Oryctolagus cuniculus: one gene and its partners. The protein of the gene in region 1 binds, or shares a complex with, the protein of each later gene. Links are inferred from orthologs where the notes say so. Each region holds a gene or a part of one and is shown in the gene's direction. Other genes may lie near its edges.

Region 1 (4,691 bases):
GCCGGGACAGCCGCGGGCCGCACCAGACACCCCCCGTGGAAGCTCCGCCCACTCGCACCTGCTCACCCGTGCTGCCCCGAGGGGCCAGGAGCGAGCCAGAGCCTCCTGGTTTCTGAGACCCTCCCCTAGGGGACCCTGGCCAGGCCCTGGCGAGCTCTGCCTTGTGTCTTGGTAGAGTGGGCCGAGGGCTGACCGTGTCAGCCACGGAGGGGCCGTGGGGCTCCCATCCCCATCCCGGCCGCTGTGCCTCCAAGGACTTGCCTGAATGGATGCTGCCTGTGTGTGTGGCTGCACACGCGTGTGTTCCTGCGCTGCCCTGTGTAGACCTGCACACGCGTATGTTCCTGCGCTGCCGTGTGGCCGCACACGCGTGTGCCCGCCTTGTCTCCCAGGTTCGTGAAGGGCCTGCAGGTGGCGCCTGCACTTCTCCCAGACGACCTCAAGGCGGCGCTGGCCCTGGAGCCCACGCCCGGTGGCATCAAGTACATCATCTCCACCCAGGTGAGGCCCGGCCCTCTGCGTGACGTCATTGGGTGGGGGTGGGACTGAGTGGGCGGGGCTGCGGCGGGGTCCACCCCGAGCCTGCCCAGACTGGCCAGTGCCACGCCCCCTGCTCAGGGCTGCGAGACCCGTGCGCAGTGCTGACCCGAGCCAGGCGCCCGGCAGCGGGCAGCGGGCAGCGGGCAGCGGGGGCTCGGCTCCTGGTCGACTCGGGAGGTGGGGCCTGCACCTGGTCCCCTGCCTGCGGCCTCCGACCTCCGCCCTCCCTCCCTCCCTCAGGTGGGGCCGGGGCCTCAGGTCCTGCGGGACCCCGACGCGCACCTCCTGGGCTCCGACGGCCTGCCGAGGCCCGCTGCGTGACCGGACCCCCCTAGCGTGACGGGCGCGTCAGCGGCCCCCTGCAGCTGCGTGGCGTCTGGGCGGAGGGGCCGGGGCTGCCCCTCAAGCCGCAGCACCGCTCGTGCTGGGCCTGCAGCCCGGCCCTGGACGCTGGCCCGGTGCAGGTGGACTGGCCCTTCGCCAGCCGGCGGGGCTGCGGGCGGGGCGTGTGTCAGGTGGAGCTGTGGTGACCGCCCCGGAATAAAGCCAGCATCGCTGACCGCCTGCCCCGCACGCCTTCCCGACAGCCCCAGCAGGCCTGCCCCGTGGACAGCCCTCGGCTTGGAGGGCGATGAGGGTCCCGCCCAGTGCTCAGGGCGGGGGTGGGGTGGTGTCCGTCAGGGCGGGGTCTACCTGCTCGGCCGCCCGCCTCACCCAGGGCTGTGGCCCCTGCTGCTGGGCGTGTCCAGGGCCAGGGGCACATCCGCCTCCCCAGGGAGGGAGCCCGGCAGCCCAGGGCGGGGAGGAAGCGGTGCTGGGACCCCTGGTCCCCGCCGTGTGGGGGCGCTGCCCTGTCCTGGGGCGGCACAGGCCGGCTCCCTGGGAGCCCCGGGCCACACGCGGGATGGGCAGAGGAGCTGGGGGCAGGGGCACAGCTGGGGGGGGGCCTGGGGCAGGGAGCCGTCCGCAGGCGGCCCAGCTGCGGCCCGGGAGGTCGGCCCGGGGGGCGGGGCGGGGGCGGGGCGGAGGGCGGGGCGGGGCCGACCCGGCGGCGGCGGGCGGCGGCGGCGGCGGCGCGGGCCTCAGTGAGCCTTGGCGACCGCCATGGGGCAGATCGAGTGGGCCATGTGGGCTAACGAGCAGGCGCTGGCGTCCGGCCTGAGTGAGTGCGAGCCCGGCCGCTGGGCCCGGGCCGAGATCCTGATGGTGTGGGCGGGCGGAGATCGTGGGGTGGGGCGGGGGTCGCTGCGGCCCGGGAGCAGGGGGAGCACGGCGCCCCCGCCCCCGCCCCGCGGAGGAGGAAGCTGCCTGCGGAAGTGTTGCTGCGCCCGGTGGTTCCGGGAGCCGCCGCCCCGCCTGGCTGGGAAACTCCCAGGGACGACGATGCGGGGTCACGGGGGAGGGTCCCGAGGCGGAGCCGGGCAGGGGTCCCCAGCGGCACGACCCCTGCACCGGGTGCCCGGCAGGGTCAGCGGGGTTAGGGCTAGGCGACGGTGACCCGCCCAGAGCGCCGTGCTGCCCGGTTTGCTTTACCAGGGGCCTGGGGCCGGGTACTGGGAGAGCTCCCAACCCGTGCAGGCCCAGCCCCCAGGAACCGCCCAGCTCAGCTGCGACCCGACCTGACCCTCGGGAGGGAGCATGTGGGGGGGTGGGAAGGGTCCCAGCTCAGGGCCATGCCCTGTGCACTGGGGACAGTGAGCTTGGAGGGCCACACCCTGAACAGGCTGTGGGGCAGGCGCCCACGGCCTCCTGTTAATCCCCATGGCTGAGAACATGGCAGGTCAGTGTAGGGAGGCCCCACGGGACCCTCACCCACTGCCCCTGCTCTGTGCCAGACCCCCTGTTCCCTCCCAGGACGCCCCCAGGAGGCAGACAGCGGGGGGGGGGGGGCTTGGTTCCGATGCCTGTTAGAGGAGCAGCGACCACAGGCGCCCACTCCCATCCAGGCCAGAGAGGTCACGAGGGGTCAGCGGGACACCTGCCGGCACGTCTCCCAGGCCTCCTGCCCTGCTCCTCCTGGGGCTGTCCGGGCCGTCGGCAGCCCGCACGGGGACGACCACCAGGGACGGAGCAGCTCTGGCCGCGCCAGCCCCTGCCTCCCTCCTCACCAGCGGCACGGGGACCCCGCCAGGAAACCGCTTCCTCTGCCCACGTCCCCTGCTCCCAGGCCCCACTGCTGTCCCCTGTGCCCCACTCTGCGCCAGCCCACAGCCTCGGCGCTGGCTTTAGTCTCCCCACGCGAGACCACGAGCCCCCGCCAGCCCACGGCGGTGCCTCCGGTCACTGCTGGAACTGGGTTAGCTCAGGGCTGCAGGTGCAGCCAGCGGCTCTGCCCCGTGGCGGATAGACAGGAGGCCCCGAAAGGGGACGTTCCGCCCTGGAGATGAGTCAGCCACACCGGGCGACTGGGTGACCGCATGGGGAAGCTGCCCTCCTCCCCAGCACACGCTCCAATGCGCACCAAGAAAGTTAATATGTAGCCGAGCTCGGACCCGGCTCAGGAAGTCTGCACCAACAAAAGCGGGGAGACCTGGGGGGAGAACGCAGCCCGGGCCTGGGGCTGCCCTCGGGGACGGGCGCTTAGGCAGCGGGCGTCCAGGGCCTCAGCCGAGGCCGGGCTTCGGGCAGGATGCTGGAGTCAGACCAGGAGGGCAGCTCGGGGGTCTCCGGCCAGCACAGACCCCAGCCCTCGGCCACGCCACGTGTGGGCCTGAGGACCGGTGAGCACCGCCCCGACAGGCCTCACAGAGGACTCGGCAGGGCACAGCCGGCCCACGCCATGCACAGGGCCGCACGCGTGTGCAGGGGCGGAGCGTGTTTAAGACACCTCCAGAGCGGAGGGACGTGGGGGTGGGGGGTCTGCCTGGCCACAGGTGCAGTGAAGGAGAGCCCTTGGCGGGTAGCCCGGCCGCTCCACTTCCCACCCAGCTCCCTGCTGTGGCCTGGAAAGCAGCCGAAGGCGGCCCCAGAGGCCCGGCCCCTGCACCCGTGTGGGAGACCCGCAAGAAGCTCCTGGCTTGATCTGGCCCAGCCCTGGCCATGGCGGGCATCTGGGGAGTGAACCAGCAGACAGAAGACCTCTTTCTTCCAAATAAAATGAAAATAAATTTTTCAAAACCAAAAGCAACAAAGCGAGGAAAACGCAGTGGATGAGCTGAGCTGGGAGCCTCACAGCGTGGACGCGGGCACAGCGCAGGCACCGCCACACGCGTGGCGACAGCTCCAGGCACACGGCCGAGGGTGACAAGGATGAGCCGGCGTCCTCCGCGTGGACACGCGGGCCGCAGGCCACGGCAGCACATCCGGAACACTCGGTGGCCAGTGAGCTTCCCAGCACCGCAGCAGGCGCCCACACACAGCCAAGGCCGCTCCCGAGTGCAGGACCCACGGGCCACGTGGCCACCACACCCACTGCCCGCACAGGAGGCCACGCCCCAGCCAGGCGGAAGGGGACCCCAGGGAAGCGGGGGTTGTGGGGAGGAAGAGGCTGTTGGCTGGGGGCGGGGTGGTGGAGGTGGACACCGAGGTCGGCTCCGGAGGGGCTGTGACATCGCGGGGTCGTGTCGCCTGACGGGTGGGCAGGCAGCGGGGCAACGGACACTCTGGCCCCTAGAGGGTCGGCCAGGTGAGCCCAGGGGCAGGCACGCTGCTCGCAGCACCGGTCTCAACGTGGGAGACCCCACTGGGCCCCAGCTGCCTGGACAGCGGGAAGGACACTCGCGGGACGGAGCCAGCAGTGAGCGCCAGGGGCCGATCGCGTGCGCACAGCGGGCACTGCCGCTCTGGCCGGGGCTGCGGGGAGCTCCAGGTGCCGAGCGCCGGCTTCTGTCTGATGAGGACAGCACCAAAGCAGAACCAGGAATGGCCACACGGAGCGAGGACAGGGCCAGGACGCCGACGCTGTCAGAGAATGAGGTCACCGAGCACGAACGTGCCACTCGCCGCCTCCGCCCGGCTGCGCCAGCCCCGTGCCAGCGGCGTCCAGATGTGGAGATGGACACGGAGCATCGAGGGTGCCAGAACGAGCTGCCGGGGCGAGGGGCACCCCGGCTCCACGCAGCCAGAGGAGCAGACATGGTCCAGGGCCCCAGAGCACTGAGAGGACAGGGTGACTTTAAAAAGAAATTTAGGCACCGGCGCTGTGGCTCAGC
Region 2 (4,666 bases), on another chromosome or scaffold:
CTGTGTTGCCCTCAGGGCAGGTTGTACGTCCTGGGGGAGTTTCCTTATCGCCCGTGTCTGGTATCACGGAGGCACCAAGCCCAGAGCTGGGCATGCACGCGGCATGGGACTGATGGGTTCTGAATGAGGGACGGCGTCGGTGGCTTTGGGTCAGGGACACGTGTTGCTTGGGCTTCCTGGAGCAGGGGGACAGTTGGAGCTTCTGTCTACAGCCGTGAGGGGTTGGGCAGGCTGGCAGAGGAGGCGCGGATGTCGGGGGAGTGAGAGGAGGGGGAAGGCGGCGGCCACATCCACGGGACCATTTTCGATGTAGAGAAAGGCTGCAGACGGTGGAAGAGCTCACCCGTCTGTGTCCGTGCTGACGCCTGTTCTGCGGCCATGGGCGCCCGCCCGAGCAGAGGCGTGTTCCGGCGCAGCCATCGCAGCGGGTGGCTTGGCCACTTTTTCTGTTCCGTCTGCAGTTCAGGACGCCGCTTTGCATTCACCACATGTCTCTCTCTCTAAAAAAAGATGTATTTATTTGAAAGGCAGAGTTACAGAGAGAGAGAGAGAGAGAGAGATCTTCTATCTGCTGGTTTGCTCCCCAAATGGTTGTAACAGCCAAGGCTGAAGCCAGGAGCCAAGGACTCCACCCAGGTCTCCCACGTGGGAGCGGGGGCCCAAACATTTGCCCTCTCCCCCCCGCCCCGGGGGCTGGAAAGGTGCTGGGGGTGGGAGCAGCAGCCATGAACCCCACACTTGGAGCCAGCTGGGAGGTCCCGCGCTTCCCTAATCTCCCTGGAGCACCCTCGTGACAAGGGGAGCACTCACTCTCCATCCCCACCCCTGGGCTGGAGGACTCGGGCTCTGCCCCTCCCCCTCCAAGCAGCAGCTGGGCTGCAGACGACCCAGGAGCCGCCTGGCTTCTCAGACCCTCAGTTTCCGCACCCACAGAATGGGCCGTGGTGCCTGGCCTCGGGGCGCAAGTCCCCAGGGCTGGCCCGCGTAGGGCGTTGCCTGCTGCTTCCCTTCTCCGTCAGCTGACCCCACCTCACCTCCCTCCCCTACATTTTCCATCCTCCTCCCCAGGGACTCCCACACAGGCCCTTGCTCGGGGAGCCCCCGCTCTGAGTCCTGGCTAAAGCAGGGCTCCTGCTAGAGCGCCCTCTTCTGGACACCGGCTGCAATGCCGGCCTGCAGGCCCCAGCTCTCTGGGGGTAACTGCTCTCCGCAGATCCCTTGGGCTCCATCACTTCCTGTCTGGGTTGACGGACACCTGTAATGAGGCCGACTCTTTCCTTCCACGAGGAGTGTGAGCCCCAGGGAGGGGCTGGGCCCCTTGCGCTTTGGCCTCACCACCAGCACTTGGCACTGTGCCTGGCATACAGAAGGCACTCATTACGTGCTTATGCTCAGAAATGGGGTCAACTGTATGCTTGGAAGCCTCAAGTCCTTAGAGGGCAACTTCTGGCGCTGCCCCTCGGGCCCCCACGTCTCCTGCGGGAGCCCCGGGACAGGGCGCCTGTGTGTGTGTGGGAGGGGTGGCCAGGGCCGGGCCCGGCACCTGCGGTGCCCCCAGCTGCTCCGCCAGACCGCATGCCCCGCCTTCTGCAAACGGCCGTGGGACAGCGGCTTGGCTAAGTTCTGCTTCCGCTTCCTCCTGCCTCGCGTCTCACCGCCGCCGTCGCCGTTGCTGCTCGGCCGGTGCCTCCCAGGCTCTCCACAGCTCCGGTGCCTGCAGGAGCCCCCACCGGCCCTCAGCTGTCTCTGCTGCCGCCCCCCAGGCCCCGGACAGGATGCAGGCCATCAAGTGTGTGGTGGTGGGCGATGGGTAGGTACCTGGCCTGCCTCCTACAGCCCCCGTTGGGCCACCCTGAGACCCTCCCGCCCTGGGGCACGCTGGGGGAGCCCCTGCCCTGCCGACGCGGGCATCGCTGGGTGACAGCCATCGGGAGTTGCTTCCTTCTTTTCCCAGGGCCCAGAGGGAGCCCCCTAGGGTGGGCCGGGGAGAGAGAAGCTGAACTCAGCCCTCCCCACCGCACCCCGGAAGCCGCCTGGGTGGAGGGTACAGGATGGCAGGTGGGGGTGTCTGCGGCTCCTCCCTGCCCCCCTGAGCTGGGGGCAGGTCTCCTGGGGGTGGTGGGCCTCAGTCCTCACCCCTAGGGGGTGCAGGTCAGAGGGGAGGAAGCAAAACGTTGGCGGTGACCTGGGCTGGAGGCACTGGCGGGGTGTGCTGTGTGGCCTCGGGCGGTTCACTGCACCTCTCTGAAGCTCACGTTTGGTGATCGGAGGGAGGCCTCTGCCCCCAGGGTTGCTGGGGGCTGGCCTGCATGGCAGGCTGGACTGAGGGCCCCTGTCGGTTGTCAGAACTCCGTGGCCCCGGTGGGCCTCAATGTCCCCATCTGTGAGATGGGTGGTCAGTCGCCAGCCCTTGGCCCCACCCTCAGGCAGGTCTTGGGTTCCCTGTCAATCTGTCCCAGCCGCCTGGAGCTGGGCGGGGCCTCTGTCCAGCTCTCCCCTCTGCAGAGCGGCAGCCGGAGGCCTTGGAGACGAGGGTCTTCTCTGACCTGGATTGCAGCCGCCCCGGCCCAGGTTCTGCCCCGCCCGTGGCTCAGGCTGCCTCTGGTGCATCTGGTGCACGGCCAGGTCATGTCAGCCCGCCTGTCCTGCTTACTTCTGCTTTGGGTCTGAGGCGACAGGGGGAGGGCAGAAGTCAAGGGGAAACTTCCAGCCATTCGGAGTTACCTTGGTGGCCCTGGGGACGGCGGAGGTGGCAGGGGGGATGGGGCCAGCAGCCCGCGCAAGGAACGGGAAGTGACAAACCAAGCAGGCAGGGGAAAGCCCGTGGCCGCCCCTTTGGCCTCTGGGCCTCGCGCTCAGCTGCTGTGCCCCTGCCCGCAGCCCCGCAGGCTAAGGGGGAGACAGTGTGATAACGAGGCTCACCATCTATTTACCCCCTACTGTATACCGGGCACCGGACTTAGTCAACTTCCCCTAGCTTGGTCTCTCGCCAGCTCTAATGTTTAGGCTCATTTGACGGGGGAAACTTGAAGCTCAGAGAAGTTCCGTATTCTGCCCGGGACCGCCCAGCATTTGAACGCAGGCGTCTCTGGGTCCCAAACCTGCGGGCCCCTTCACCGCGAGGCTGCAGGAGGTGTGGGGAGGGGCCCCCGGCTCTCCCAGCAGTCGGTGGCGGCCATGGGCATCGTCTGTTTCACGTCTCAGCACGCTGCCTGGAAGATGGACACATCCCTGTCCCCGCTGTGGGGAAACAGGCAGAGGGTGCTGACCGAAGGTCGGGCCACTGGGTAGGGGGTGGAGCTGGGATTTGGAGCACAAGGTGAGGGCCCAGCCCCCCGGCCCCCTCTGCTCTGCCCGGCCTGTCCCGTGTCACCTGCGCCCGGGGAAGCTTCTGTTACGAACGCGGATTCACGGCTCTGCCGGGCGTGGGTCAGGCACCCGGGGGACGGGACCCCGAAGTCGGCACTTTCCCACAACCCCGGGGACTTCTACAGACTCAGGGTGCAGAAAAGCCACACGGGACGCCTGGGAGCGGGAGACCCCGGCCCGGAGGCGTGGGCTGGCTGCACTGGGTCTCCCCAGGGGCCGCCGGTGACCACGCCCCCTCACCTTCCGTCTTGCAGAGCCGTGGGGAAGACTTGCCTTCTCATCAGCTACACCACCAACGCCTTCCCGGGAGAGTACATCCCCACCGTGTGAGTGCGGGGCGGGCTGCCCGGAGCTGGGGGAGGGGGCAGCTTGGGGGCGGGGGGCAGGGCCAGCCCGCCCCCTGCCGGCACTTCCGGGGTGGGGGCAGTTAGGGTCCCAGTCTACCAGCCACCCAGGGAGGCTTCTAGAAGGGAGAAGGAGAGTCAGGGGGGAGAGCTGGCTTTGAACTTGCGCCTCTAGGGAGAGGGAGAGGGAGATGGAGAGGACTGGGCGGGGGAGCAGCAGGTCGGGGAGGGAGAGCGGAGGAACCCAGAGGACCCAGACACCAAGGGACAGGGGTGCCAGGGTGTCTGCAGTGCCCTCTGTGCCCCCCGCCCTCCAGGCCCCGGCCTCTGGTTGGCTGTGCGGGCAGGGCTGCACCTGAGGAGTGGGGAGTGGGAGGGGGTCAGACTCAGAGGGAAGCCTTGCCTGACGGACACCTCCCAGCCCCTGAGCACGGCGTTCAAGGCCTCTGTGGTCTGCTCCAGCCTCCGTGGTTGCCCCAGCCCCTGCAGCTCAGTGCACATTCCTCGAGGCCGTTGCTCCAGCTGCTCCCCCTGCTACAGGGCTCTCCTTCCCACATCCAAGTGTCTAAAGCCTCCAGGCCCAGCTCCAGTGCCCCCTCCTCCAGGAAGCCTTCCTGTTGTAGCCCGAAGGGGTCGCTCACTCCCTAGAGTGACTTTGATCTCTCCCAGGACACCCCCCCCCACCGCCCCGACTTGAGTCCAGGCCCATCGGATGTTCATTTGGTGATGGTAATGGGGCTCCCTTTTAGGACCAGGGGAAGGAAGGACAGGGCCAGGGCCAAGATGCCCCACCCACCCCGTGATGTCGGGGGTCCCCATCAGCCTCAGACTCCACTCCCAGCACAACAGCCCTGAGCCTCTTGGTCCGCGGCAGGTGGCCTGGGCTCCCTCCTGGGGACGGTGGCTCAGCTGCCTCAGCCGGGCCCAGCTGGGAGGAAGCAGGCAGCCAACAG
Region 3 (3,336 bases), on another chromosome or scaffold:
AGAAAAGCTTGCTTAATAATTGTTCAAAGAATAGACAAATGGAGAATGGGGATATTCAGTCTACAAGATGTTAGATGTGAAGATGTCAAGATGTCAGTGTGAAGTAGAGAATTCTAGCTTCAATGTTCAAAATGTAAGCAACAATTCAAGTGGTGATTCCCTAGCAAGAGATGCAGGTGTTTGTGTGTGTGTGTGTGTGTGTGAAGAGTGGTGAAGCAACAAAAAAAATACCCATACTGAGAGTCCAAATGTTTTGAAGTTAGTTAAAAAGTCGTCTTCTTATATCCAACCCCAACATAGTTGGGTTGAGTGTTGAGTTGGTTGCTTGAAATCTATTTCGCAGGAAGCCTTCCATAGATACTTTGTCCCAGTTTGAATAGACATATTATACATCCTCAAAAATAACAGGTGTCCCATGTTACTATGAAGAACAATCCATCTGTGTAACAATTTCTTCTCCACTTCCTTTCAGGATAGCAGTTGATGGGCCCTTTGGCACAGCAAGTGAAGATGTGTTCAGCTATGAGGTGGTGATGTTAGTGGGAGCAGGAATTGGGGTCACGCCCTTTGCATCCATCCTCAAGTCAGTCTGGTACAAATATTGTGACAATGCCACGAATCTGAGGCTCAAAAAGGTATGTTCCTTCATTTTCTGGAGGGCCTGGAGTGGTCATCACACTTTGCCAAGTGAGGCCTAAGGGTGTGTTAAGGGCTAAGGCTGGCTGAAGCCAGAAAAAGTGAAGAGAAATATTAGGTGGTTCCAGAGAAGCAGATGTCTTTTCAAAGGCCTATGGGGTAAGTTAAACGTACCTCTATACTCATATAAGAAGGCCTATTAGTGAAAGCAATATGCTAGTTTTGTATATCATTACTGGAAATTCAGAAGAAAGTTGGGAAACAGTGAAGACATTTACAACAGCAAACCAATAGCTATCTTTTTTGTCTATTGTATTCTAATATTTACATATTTTCAAAAGGTATAAATATTGAGTATGTATAATTTCATATTCTGGCTTTCTAAATATATTATAGAAAGTGTGTTCAGGCTTTAAGATAATCTCAATGATTCTTTCATTTTCCATTGAGAGAACATAGAACAATTTTTCCATCACCCTGTGTTAGATATTGAGATTGATTCAATTTCTACCCCACCCCTTATTCCCCAAATACATTTTGCAGGAATAAAGCAAGAAACATGACATTTTGACTTTCTCATGGATATATTCTCAGGATCAATTCACAGAGGATTTTTTGTTACATGTGAATTTAGTTTCATTGCCTGATGAAATACATCTTTAATATATCTTGCCTAGACTAGCTGGTGCCAGTCTAGATTCCAATGGCCTTTCTGAGAGGAAGGACAAAGGAATCCAGGGATTCTGGGAAAGCGAGAATAGTTCTCTAGAGGGAAAGGTATTTCTGAGGTTAATTTATTCATTGCCTTGCCAGTGTGAAGGCCAGAGCAAGATCCTGTGAACTAGCCTGTGCTGGGTCCAGAGCTTTCTGAAAACCTGTACTGCTAGACATCCTGACCATCAGGAAAAGGTTTGGGGACAGTAGAAATCCACATGTTAACGAAGATCAAGTCTATCTAAATATAATCTGTGCCTCTTTCAGATCTACTTCTACTGGCTGTGCCGTGACACACATGCCTTTGAGTGGTTTGCAGACTTGCTGCAGCTGCTGGAGACACAGATGCAGGAGAGGAACAATGCTGGCTTCCTCAGCTACAACATCTATCTCACCGGCTGGGATGAGTCCCAGGTGAGGGCAAGGGTCCACATCTCAGGTCCTTCCAGTAGTGTCCAGGGCTTACCAGTTTCCCCTTTGTTATTGGTGTTTTTCGTGCCCTGTTTTTTCCAAGATCAGTTAATGGTTTGAGTAATCCATCCCAGTTATTCTCACTCTGTCTCCACATGATGTTAAAACTGTTGAGACTACATTCAAAGCTAAAGAGCCTGTAAAGGAAGAAAATCCTTGACTATTACACTATTAGAGCAATGTTCTCACCAGAGGATTAGTCTCAGACAAAATGGGTAAGATGCTCCACTATATTATGGGGAAAAAAAAGTTTCCTCATTCTCTCTCTCTTGGTATGTGTATGGGTATTCCTTTAATTTATATGTTTATGCTTGTTTTATAATATACTCAATACATTGCTAGTTATTAAGCATATGCACTCAGCTTTCCATATCTGTACTGAACATATCATTATCCACTACACAATACAGTATAGCACTTATTTACACAGCATTTCCATTCTATTAGGTGGTATAAGTAATCTGGAGATGATTTAAAGTGTATGGGAGGATGTGTTTCGGTACTTGCAAATGCTACCTCATTTTATGTAAGGGACTTGAGCATCCTCACATTCGGAATTTGCTAACTTCAGCAGGGCTGGGGATGTGCTGGGAGAGTGGAAACTAAACCTGACAGACACCAAGGGGCAGCTTACTATGTTCCCACTATTATTCTTAGAATTTACATAAATTGCCTTATTTTATCCTGTCCACAACCCTCCAAGGTTATTATTATTCAAATTTTTCAGATGAAGAAATCAAGGCCCAGAATAGATTCAGTCATTTGCTTAAGAGAACCCAACAAGTGGCAGAGTCAGAACGCTTCTGAACCTGCACTCTTAGCAACTCTCAGTAGTTTCTGGTTATAATTTTTTTTCCTTTTTCCACAAACTTTTTGAAGTACTTTCTTTTTTTCTTCTTTAAAATTTTTTATTTAATAAATGTAAATTTACAAAGTACAACTTTTGCATTGTTGTGGCTTTTCCCCCCATAACCTCCCTCCCACCCGCAGCCATCCCATTTCCCACTCCTTCTCCCATCCCACTCTTCATTAAGATTCATTTTCAATTATCTTTATATGCAGAAGATCAACTTAGTATATACTAAGTAAAGATTTCAACAGACTGCACCCACACAACCACACAAGATATAGAGTGCTGTTCGACTAGTAGTTTTACCATTAATTCTCATAGTACAACACATTAAGGACAGAGATCCTACGTGGGGAGCAGGTGCACAGTGACTCCCGTTGTTGATTTAACAATTGACAGTCTTATTTATGATGTCAGTAATCACCCCAGGCTCTTGCCATGAGCTGTCAAGGCTATGGAAGCCTCTTGAGTTCACCAACTCTGAACTTATGTAGTCAAGGCCATATCACAGTGGAGGTTCCTTCCTCCCTTCAGAGAAAGGTGCCTTCTTCTTTGATGGCCCGTTCTTTCTGCTGGGATCTCATTCATCTGGTTATAATTTGTAAACGAATCAACAAATATTGCTTGAAGGTGATATGCAAGGGTGAAAAGTTCATGGATATTGC
Region 4 (4,399 bases), on another chromosome or scaffold:
CTGGCACAGGCCCTGGGGTCTCTGCCATTGCCACAGGAGACTCACACCGGGGTGGGTCAAGCGGGAGCCGGGAGGCGTGGGCAGAATGGGGCGGACCAGAGGGAGGAAGGGGGTCGTGCAGGGGCTGGAGAGCCTCCCCCAGGGGCACCAAGTAAAGACTCCATCGCCCAGCGCGGGGGCGCCGGGCAGACTGAGCCTCGCAGAGCACGGGGCTCACCCAGGGCACGGTGAGGTGCTGGCTCCAGGCAGGGCCCCCCGAGGGGGTGGGAGATGGGTAGGAGCAGCCCGGCAGGGCCAGGGGAGAGAGCCTGGCTGAGCGAGCCGGGCGGCGGCTGTGGCGTCCTCAGAACCACACGGAGGCCCTGAAGGGCCGGGATCGGGCGTGATGAGAACCTCACTGCTCGAGCCGTGAGGACCATGGACAAGGCGCCCACTGCGGGCAGGCAGGGCGGGGCTGGGCGGCCCAGGAGATGCAGTCAGGCGGGCAGCCTCGCTGACGGAGGGCGTGGAGGGGTGGGTGGACCGGGGCTGAGGGCCACGATGGACACACGAAGGCCCAGGAGACACGGTCAGGTGCAGAGGAGGCGGGGTCAGGGCCGAGGCCTGTGGGCAGCTGGACCCTGCAAGGTGTGCGGATGCTCACACGCATGTCCCCGGCCCTCCCTCACCCGCCGCCCGGCACGGCCTGCGGAGCGCACGCCCCGGTTTCTTAGGCTCTTGGGAGAATTGCAGTGTGAATGTGTGTGTTCCTTCCGGTAGGAAGCAGGGGCTGAGCCCTAACAGCGAGCAGGGGGGCTCTCTAGGTCACGCCGGCTGTCCCCAGGACCCCGCGGGGGGCTCTCTAGGTCACGCCGGCTGTCCCCAGGACCCCGCGGGGGGCTCTCTAGGTCACGCTGGCTGTCCCCAGGACCCCGTGGTCCCTCAGCAAGGCAAGGAGTCTCAGCCTCCGTGCAGCCCGCAGCCCGTCAGCTCACAAATGGGAGAAATTGCCGTTCGTGGCCGACCTGGATCCCACGCGGAGGCGCTTGTGGGCAGTCGCTCCCGCCCCGGACTTCCTGAGTGCTCATCCGAGTGACCTCGGGTGCAGATGGACCCCGGGAGATGTGTCTGTCGCTGGTGTGGCTCAAGATGAAACCAACAGGACACGGCCGTCGCAGGGTCAGGAGCAGGAGAGCCGGGGACCGGGAGAGGCCGGGAGGAGCCAGGCGCCCGCCCCGCAGCCTCCCAAGCCCAGGATGCAATGGAGCTGGGGAAGCCACCCCTGGCACGGCTGCCCTGGGCCCCACAGAGGCTGCAGCCAGAGGAGGAGGCGGAGACTCAGCGGAGCGTTTTGGGGAACTGACCCATGACAACGGCACCTGCTGTACTTCCCCTGCCCGCCCCCCGCCCGCCCCCGCCGCCCTCTCGTTCCTTCTCTCTCACAGTTGGCTGAAAGGTGGGGCCACTTCCGCTGCCTTTGCAACACCAGAGCCTTCTTAAGGGGAGCCGGGCCCGTCCTGCCCCCACCGCCCGTCCCTGGCCGCTCCCGACACCTGCTTGCACCTGACCATGTCCCTGGCGGAGGCCATCAGCCTCTGGAATGAGGGGGTGCTGGCGGCTGACCGGGAGGACTGGAGGGGGGCCCTGGCCGCCCTCTGCGCAGTCCAGGACCCGCACGCCCGGATCTGCTTCAACGTGGGCTGCGTGCACGCCATCCTGGGAGACCTGCCTGAGGCAGAGAAGGTGAGTGAGGGCTCTTCCCACCTCCTCAGTGTCCGCAGCCTCTGCCCTCGGGCTGGTGGCCACGGAACCCAAATCTCCAGGGAGCTTCCGCATTAGCCCAGAGCCCCCGCCCAGCTGGCCTGGGCAGGGCCTGCGCCACAGCTCCCAAAATTCCCCAGCTGCTCGGGAGGGGCGTGGGCAGCCCAGGCCGGGAGCCGTGACCAGGGCCAGGCTGTCCCTCTTCCCCCTCTTCTCAGCCGTGATGGCCCTGACCCACGGGGCACTGGTTCGCTCCGTCTCCGTCTCTGTCCCCGTCCCGGCCACGAGGTGCCCCCAGGGCAGCCCGGCCCTCTGGCTCACCAAGAGCTGGCTGCATCTCCAGTGCGCGCCTAGCTAACCGTGACTGACAGGGCGTCAGCCAAGGGCAGGGCTGGGGATGGGGTCTGAGCACCTTCTAAAGTACTTTTGCCTCTCGCGTACCCCAGTGGGGGCCAGTGGGGTCAGGGCCAGGGAGACGCCCCCGGGTCCGGCAGCAGGAGCGCTCCAGGCAAACGGCGGCGCCGCTCCTCCCTGCACCTTGGGTCTCCAAGGGCATAAACACCGCAGCGATTGCGTGAGACACGGAGCAGGAAGGCGCCGCCCCGTCTCGGAAGTCAGCTGTCACCTTTGCCTGCTGCTGCGGATCCTCGCAAGGCCCTGAGCGCAGCCAGGGCCACACCCACCGCAGGCAGAGCCGAGGGTCAGCGGGCAAGACCCCGGCGGAGGGCGCGGCCGGGGCAGGCCCTGGAGGGTGTGGGTGCCGGGCGTCCCCGCGCGTTCTGTGTCTGGATTGTTCCCTGCCTCGGCTGCCTAAGCCCCATGCTGCCAGCCTTCCGGGTAAATTCTTATTTATTACTTTAATTTTCATAATGAACCATTGTATCCTGATCCAGTGAACTTGAAAGGCAACACGCCCCTCATGCAGAGGAGAAAACTAGGGCTCAGCTAGAGAGTAGGGAACTTGCCCCATGCCACGCCACGAGGAAGTGACAGGCGCGCTGACCCGTGCCCTGCCCAACGCTGCCCGCGGCCTCCGACCTCCTCCACCCTCTCCGCAGGCCTTTACCAAGAGCATCAGCAAGGACAGGCACCTGGCCGTGGCCTACTTCCAGCGGGGGATGCTGCACCACCGCACGGAGAGGTGAGGGCCCCGGGCACTGGGAACTGTGCAACAGCTCAGCGCGGGAGGCAGCGGGAGGGCAGGCCTGAGCTGCGCCGGGGCACAAGGCAGCCGCCACTCGCAGTGGCCTGGCGGCCACAGGGACCTGACGGTCAGCCAGCACGGCACCCACCGTGCGCTGCGGGACGAGGCGTGCCGTGAAACCGCATCGGCCTGGCTTCATCCCTGGTTACGTCCGTCTGGTGAAGTAAAATCCAGCCGCAAACGAGAGAATAGAGCAACACATCAGGTAGATGTGCTGGACCGCGGCCGGCAGTGCTCACGACGCCCGCATCCGGGTTCAGTGCGCAGCTCAGCTCCGGCCTGCCTGCAAGCTGCGGGGCAGAAGTGGCGGCTCAAGGAACTGGCATCGCGTCCCTGCCATCCACATGGGCGCCCTGGGCTGGACTCCCAGCTCTGGCGTCAGCCCTGGCCCAGCCTAACCTGCAGGAAGTACCTTGGCAGATACGAGCTCTCTGTCACTCCGCCTCTCTGCCACACGAGTAAATGATTTTTTAAAAAATATTCTATGTATTTATTTGAAAGCCAGAAATACAGAGAGAGAGAGAGAGGAGAAAGAGAGAGAGAGTCTTCCATCTGCTGGTTCACTCCCCAAATGGCCGTGACAGCCAGGAGCCAGGAGCTTCCTCCAGGTCTCCCACGGGGGAACTTTGGCCATCTTCTGTTTTCCCAGGCCACAGCAGAGAGCTGGATCGGAAGTGGTGCAGCCGGGACTAGAACCGGCACCCATGTGGGAGGAAGGCACTGCAGGCGGCGGCTTTACCTGCTACACCGCAGCACCGGCCCCTACCTGCATTTTTGATGTGTTTACAGTGTTCACATGAAATAATTAGTAAAAAGCTGGCGCCGTGGCTCACTTGGCTAATCCTCTGCCTGCGGCGCCGGCACACCAGGTTCTAGTCCCGGTTGGGGCGCCGGATTCTGTCCCGGTGGCCCCTGTTCCAGTCCAGCTCTCTGCTGTGGCCAGGGAGTGCAGTGGAGGATGGCCCAAGTGCTTGGGCCCTGCACCCTATGGGAGACCAGGAGGAAACACCTGGCTCCTGGCTTCGGATCGGCGCAGCTTTAGCCGTAGCAGCCATTTAGGGAGCAGAACCAACGGAAGGAAGACCTTTCTCTCTGTCTCTCACTGTCTAACTCTGCCTGTCAAAAAAAGAAGAAGGAGGAGAAGGAGAAGAAAAGAAAGAAAGAAAGAAAGAAAGAAAGAAAGAAAGAAAGAAAGAAAGAAAGAAAGAAAGAAAGAAAGAAAGAAAGAAAGCAAGAAAGAAAGAAAGAAAGAAAGAGAGAGAGAAAGAAAAGAAAGAGATAATTAGTAAAAAGAGAAGCATTCACAGACTTAAAGTTAATCCCAACCTCATCAACAACCGGATGACGATATTCTAAGCCTTAATTGCTGATCTTTGGTGCGTGGCACACTGGCCTTGCAGGGCGGGTTCTTCCTCCAGTGTGCACGGGGGCAGTGGCCAGGAATTCGGCTCAGGC
Region 5 (4,702 bases), on another chromosome or scaffold:
CTTTACCTGCTATGCCACAGCTTGGGCCACAGGAATGAAGATTCTGATACAAAGGTGTTCCACAGAAAGATTAAAACAACTCAATTGCCTAATAAAAGGGGAATTATTTAAATAAACGGTAGGCGCATGGCACAGCTATTAAGATGCCCCTTGGGACGCTGAATGCCGTATCATACAGCCTGAGCTTCAGTCCCAACTCTGCTTCCGATGCAGCTTTCTGCTAATGTGCACCCCAGGAGGCTCAGATTGGGCTCCGACTCCCGACTGGCCTGACTTAGCCCTGGCTGTTGCAGGTATTTAGGGAAGAATCAGCAGGTGGAGGATCTCTCTCTGCCTTTCAAGTAAAATCAAAATAAATGAACAAAGTAAAATTTTAAAAAGGTACATGTGTACAATGGACTAGTAAGCCGCAATTAAAAATATTAGAGATTCAGTATGATTTTTCAATCTTGCCTGAAACATGTTCACTGTGTGTATTAAGAAATATGGAGGCCAGCGCCGCGGCTCACTAGGCTAATCCTCCGCCTTGCGGCACCGGCACACCGGGGTCTAGTCCCGGTCAGGGCGCCGGATTCTGTCCCGGTTGCCCCTCTTCCAGGCCAGCTGTCTGCTGTGGCCCGGGAGTGCAGTGGAGGATGGCCCAAGTGCTTGGGCCCTGCACCCCATGGGAGACCAGGAGAAGCACCTGGCTCCTGCATTCGGATCAGCGCGATGCGCCTGCCACAGAGCGCCGGCCGCGGCGGCCATTGGAGGGTGAACCAACGGCAAAGGAAGACCTTTCTCTCTGTCTCTCTCTCTCTCACTGTCCACTCTGCCTGTCAAAAATAAATAAATAAATAAATAAATAAATAAATAAAATAAAAAAGAAATATGGAGAGGGGCTGGCACTGTGGTGCAGTGGGTTAAAGCCCAGGTCTGAAGCGCCATATGGGCGCCGGTTCGAGACCCGGCTGCTCCACTTCCGATGTGGCTCTCTGCTGTGGCCCGGGAAAGCAGTGGAAGGTGGTCCAAGTCCTTGGGCCCCTGCACCTGCATGGGGACCTGGAAGAAGCTCCTGGCTTTGGATCAGCCCAGCTCTGGCCATTGCGGCCAATTGGGAGAGAACCATCGGGTGGAAAACCTCTCTCTCTCTCTCCATCTTCTCTCTGTAACTCTTTCAAATAAATAAATCTTAAAAAAAAAAAAAAAAGAAATATGATGGAATGAATACTGATTATGGCCCAATAATGGTATGGTTTCTTTTTTTTTCCTTCTTTATATAGCTTCAGCTTCGGAAATTTCTAGAAGGCCCTTATGTCATCGCCTAAGTGACAGTGACCATACACACAGGACAATAAAGAGGTGGGGGAACAACCCACGCCCTTCGGACGGCCGGGCCGGGAGTCGGTGACGTCAGCGCGGTTCCTGGAACCCCCGCCTCCCCTCCCAGTCCAAACCCGGCCGCGCCCAGCCCGCGGGAAAGATGGCGGCCGCCCCGCCCCCGCGGCCGGAGCCGAGCGCTCCCGAGCGCTCCCGAGCGTTCCCGAGCGCTCCCGAAGCCCCGAGGAACCCCGGGAGCCGCTCGGGCGGGAGCGGCCCCTCCCGGAGCCTGGGAGCGGCGGCGCCGGCGCGGGGGAGGGGCGGCCGGATGTGAGTGGAGCGGCCATTTCCTGTTTCTCTGCAGTTTTCCTCCGTTTTGGGTGGTGGCTGCTGCCGGGCTTGTGCCTCCAGTCCGCGGAGGGCGAGGCGGCGTGGACAGTGGCTCCGGCATCCCGCGCCCCGCCGCCCGTCGCCGCGCGCTCGCCCGCCCGTCGCCGCGCGCCCGTCCGCCCGCCGCTTCCCGCCTCAGCGCCCGGCCGCCGCCGCCGCCGCGGCCCAGCGAGCGGCCCAGATGCAGGCCATCAAGTGTGTGGTGGTGGGAGACGGGTGAGTGCGCGGCCGGGGGCTCTGGGGGGCCGGCGGGGGCTCGCCGAGGGTCGCGTGGGCGCCGCGCGGCCTCTGCGCGGGGCTCGGGCGGGCGCCCCTCACCCGCCGTCGTCCCGGGCCGGGTTGCGGCGTCCTGGTGGGGGGAGGGCCCTGCCGCTGGCCGGCCGCGGGCAAGAGTGGACTCCGCCCTCTCGCCGCCTTCCCGGGCCCGCGGGGCGGCCGGACGCCGCCCGCCACCCTGCCCGGCTTGGCACGGCTCTCGGGCGCCTGTGCAAATCATTTTATTTTATTTTATTTTATTTTGGCGAGAAGGGGCCGTTCCCTGGCATTTACCCTAAACCTCCTGGTCGCCCCCCACCCCCACCCCTCCAGCCCGGGGAGCCGGGGCGGGCGGCGGAGGTCCAGTGGTCTGAGTGACCGGAAGCCCAGCGTGCGGCCGCGTCGCTGCCACTTGTAACTTGGCCACTTGTGGGGTTCTTCGACATGGTCGGTGGCGCCCTTGGCGTGGACAAAGTTTGGAAGATGCTGTCAGGGGCCAGGTGTGACGGAAGCTGACCTCCTGCAATGTGGTCGTTATTTAAAAAAATAAATAAAAATAAAAATTAAAAAACCGAGGCCTTGGCTGAGCGCGGCAGGGATGGATGGAGTTCTTTCCAGGACCGCCCGTGGGGGTTACAGGCCCCAGAGGAGGACAAGACCGGTCTTATGCAGTTGTGTGTGTGTGTGTGTGTGTGTGTGTTTTTCCCTCCCTTATAAACAAGAATCCCAGTGTGATCCGAGCAAAATCGCGCGTCTCAGCATTGCTTGTGTAGCTTAGTGTGGGACAGGGACTCTCGAAGAATTACTACCAGTTTCACCCAGCTCTGAATGCAACTGGTCCAAGTCCAGAGTCGGAGGAAGAGTGCGCTGGACACCTCTGGTTCATATCCCAAAAGTGGCCTTCCGACTTTTATCTTTTTTTTTTTTTTTTTTTTTATGCCTCTTAGTGAATGTGTGATCTCTTAGCTTAGAGAACTGATGGGAGACGTTTGAGATTGTTTGTGCATTTCGGATGCAAGGAGGACAGTTAGGACACTGGTTTTTCTGGGGAGATGCATGTCTGTTGGATTCGTGTCACACGTGGGAAAGGTGAACCCTGTATAGTTCTACGTATTCAAATAAAAATTGTTAAATTTCATTTATTTAGGAATGTGTATGCTATGTTACCTTTTTAAAAGAAAACCTTACTTTGGCACTTGGGGAAAAGCGTTCGTGAAGTGGGATTGAAAATGAAGTCAGCGGATTATTTTAAGTGAATTCTTCCATGCTTTTGTGTCAGGCATCAGCAAAACGTCACTTTTTCTTAGGAACGTTTAAAATGACCTGGATTTCCCTTAAAAGTTATAAATGCTCCATCGATTATGCTTAGGATATGCTTAGCTCTCTTTCTAAGTGAAGTTGTGGTAATTCAGAACCGAGGGATGGAATGTAGTATTCTGACTTGAAGGTTTCTAAAGCAGGGACCCAGGGTGTTTGACACGAAGAGCTCCCAGCCCTCTCCTGCTGGTACTGCTGTTCCTTCCAGTGAATACTTGTTGAATGCCTGCTGTGTGTGTCTGTCCTGCCCACATCTCACCACTTAGTTGGGAGGTGTCTGAGAGCACATCACTCCTCCCCTCCCCCAGAGAGGTTCCTCCTTGGGAAGTTCAGTGAAATCATGCAGGGGGCTGGCTGGCAAGCCCCTCCCAGGGGCCAGGCCTCTACTGATTGCCTGGAAGTGACCAGGACCAGCACTGTGTGAGGCTCTGTGAGGGAGTATGAGTATTCAAAACACTGTTCCCGCCCTGGAATTTCCCGTCTGCTTTCTAATTTAATTTTTAAAATTTACTTGAGAGAGAAGAAGCTCCTACCCACCAGCTCACCCCCAACATACCTGTAACCAGCATCTGAGAACCCATTCTAGGTCTTGCTCATGGACAGGAGGGACCCAACTACATGAGCCGTCACCACCACTCCCGGGGTTCACACTAGCAGGAAGCTGGAATTGGGGCCTGCAGCAAGGAATCGAAGCCCGGCACCGCGCTGTGGGGTGCCAGTGTCGCAAAGGCTTGTCCCCACGGTATTTTAATGAGGGTTTGACATTTATGTTGACTCTTGACTGTCTTAAGTAGTATTGGAGTAAAGTGAACTTTTGCCAAAAAAAAAAAGTTACACTGTTACTCTCAGGGGTCATACGTAGCAAACATTTCTTCAGTAAAAATCCAAATCCCAAATTTTCCGTACCAAGAATATATTTCTGCTTTCGACTGGTAAGCTATATTCCTGATGATACTGCTGGAATGTTGTTTTATCAGATTGTTAAAGCTGTAAATATGGCCCCGAGTTTCAGTTAAAGGTGTTTAAACAGTGAAGGCAAAAGGTGGAGATACCACAAATTGGAAGCAAGCTGAGTTTTAACCATTTTATAACTGGGATCAGCTGGCTATTTTTTTTTAATTTAATTTTATTTATTTGAAAGAGTTCCAGAAAGAGGTAGACAGAGAGAGAGAGGTCTTCCATCCTCTGGTTCACTTCCCAAATGGCCACAACAGCTGGAGCCAGGAGTTTCTTCCAGGACTCCCACGTGGATGCAGGGGCCCAAGCACTTGGGCCATCTGCTGCTGCTCTCCCAGGTGCATCAGCAGGGAGCTGGATCAGAAGTGGAGCAGCTGGGACTCAGTCAAACAGTCAGCATCCCAATATGGGACTCCAGTGTGCAGGCCGGGGCTGTAACCCACTGTGCCACAGCGCCGGGCCCACCTGTGTTCTAGTGGACTAC

What was found.
Region 2: CYBA (region 1) and RAC2 share a complex: the UniProt entries of both Homo sapiens proteins name them as parts of the phagocyte NADPH oxidase complex. The link is inferred for Oryctolagus cuniculus from reciprocal best matches to the Homo sapiens genes CYBA and RAC2.
Region 3: the proteins of CYBA (region 1) and CYBB are in contact, whole or in part, in a cryo-EM structure (PDB 8X2L), measured with the Homo sapiens proteins. The link is inferred for Oryctolagus cuniculus from reciprocal best matches to the Homo sapiens genes CYBA and CYBB. Residues at the interface, in NP_000092.2 of Homo sapiens: Gln3, Ile4, Glu5, Trp6, Met8, Trp9, Glu12, Gln13, Ala16, Ile20, Thr23, Val27, Gly31, Phe33, Thr34, Gln35, Arg56, Arg59, Met65, Gly102, Phe103, Leu104, Leu105, Ala106, Ile108, Leu109, Ala112, Cys113, Ile116; in NP_000388.2 of Homo sapiens: Thr116, Ile117, Leu120, Phe121, Val123, Glu124, Asn128, Asn133, Lys161, Asn162, Pro163, Gly166, Leu167, Ala170, Val180, Thr183, Leu184, Ile187, Leu188, Thr191, Ser192, Thr194, Lys195, Thr196, Ile197, Arg199, Ser200, Tyr201, Glu203, Val204.
Region 4: CYBA (region 1) and NCF2 share a complex: the UniProt entries of both Homo sapiens proteins name them as parts of the phagocyte NADPH oxidase complex. The link is inferred for Oryctolagus cuniculus from reciprocal best matches to the Homo sapiens genes CYBA and NCF2.
Region 5: CYBA (region 1) and RAC1 share a complex: the UniProt entries of both Homo sapiens proteins name them as parts of the phagocyte NADPH oxidase complex. The link is inferred for Oryctolagus cuniculus from reciprocal best matches to the Homo sapiens genes CYBA and RAC1.

What each region holds. Positions count from the first base shown.
Region 1 is NC_091449.1:68,681,157-68,685,847, reverse strand, and holds the start of CYBA (cytochrome b-245 light chain), read left to right. Parts: upstream 1-1,578; 5' UTR 1,579-1,644; coding exon 1,645-1,702; intron 1,703-4,691. Other genes in the region: MVD (diphosphomevalonate decarboxylase), read left to right, coding at 393-501, 781-861. UniProt on the Homo sapiens protein: Subunit of NADPH oxidase complexes that is required for the NADPH oxidase activity that generates, in various cell types, superoxide from molecular oxygen utilizing NADPH as an electron donor.
Region 2 is NC_091442.1:114,257,726-114,262,391, reverse strand, and holds the start of RAC2 (ras-related C3 botulinum toxin substrate 2), read left to right. Parts: upstream 1-1,594; 5' UTR 1,595-1,775; coding exon 1,776-1,810; intron 1,811-3,623; coding exon 3,624-3,695; intron 3,696-4,666. UniProt on the Homo sapiens protein: Plasma membrane-associated small GTPase which cycles between an active GTP-bound and inactive GDP-bound state.
Region 3 is NC_091453.1:23,819,050-23,822,385, forward strand, and holds part of CYBB (cytochrome b-245 heavy chain), read left to right. Parts: intron 1-472; coding exon 473-635; intron 636-1,617; coding exon 1,618-1,764; intron 1,765-3,336. UniProt on the Homo sapiens protein: Catalytic subunit of the phagocyte NADPH oxidase complex that mediates the transfer of electrons from cytosolic NADPH to O2 to produce the superoxide anion (O2(-)).
Region 4 is NC_091444.1:1,499,397-1,503,795, reverse strand, and holds the start of NCF2 (neutrophil cytosol factor 2), read left to right. Parts: upstream 1-1,524; 5' UTR 1,525-1,548; coding exon 1,549-1,722; intron 1,723-2,798; coding exon 2,799-2,881; intron 2,882-4,399. UniProt on the Homo sapiens protein: Subunit of the phagocyte NADPH oxidase complex that mediates the transfer of electrons from cytosolic NADPH to O2 to produce the superoxide anion (O2(-)).
Region 5 is NC_091450.1:40,075,813-40,080,514, reverse strand, and holds the start of RAC1 (ras-related C3 botulinum toxin substrate 1), read left to right. Parts: upstream 1-1,727; 5' UTR 1,728-1,870; coding exon 1,871-1,905; intron 1,906-4,702. UniProt on the Homo sapiens protein: Plasma membrane-associated small GTPase which cycles between active GTP-bound and inactive GDP-bound states.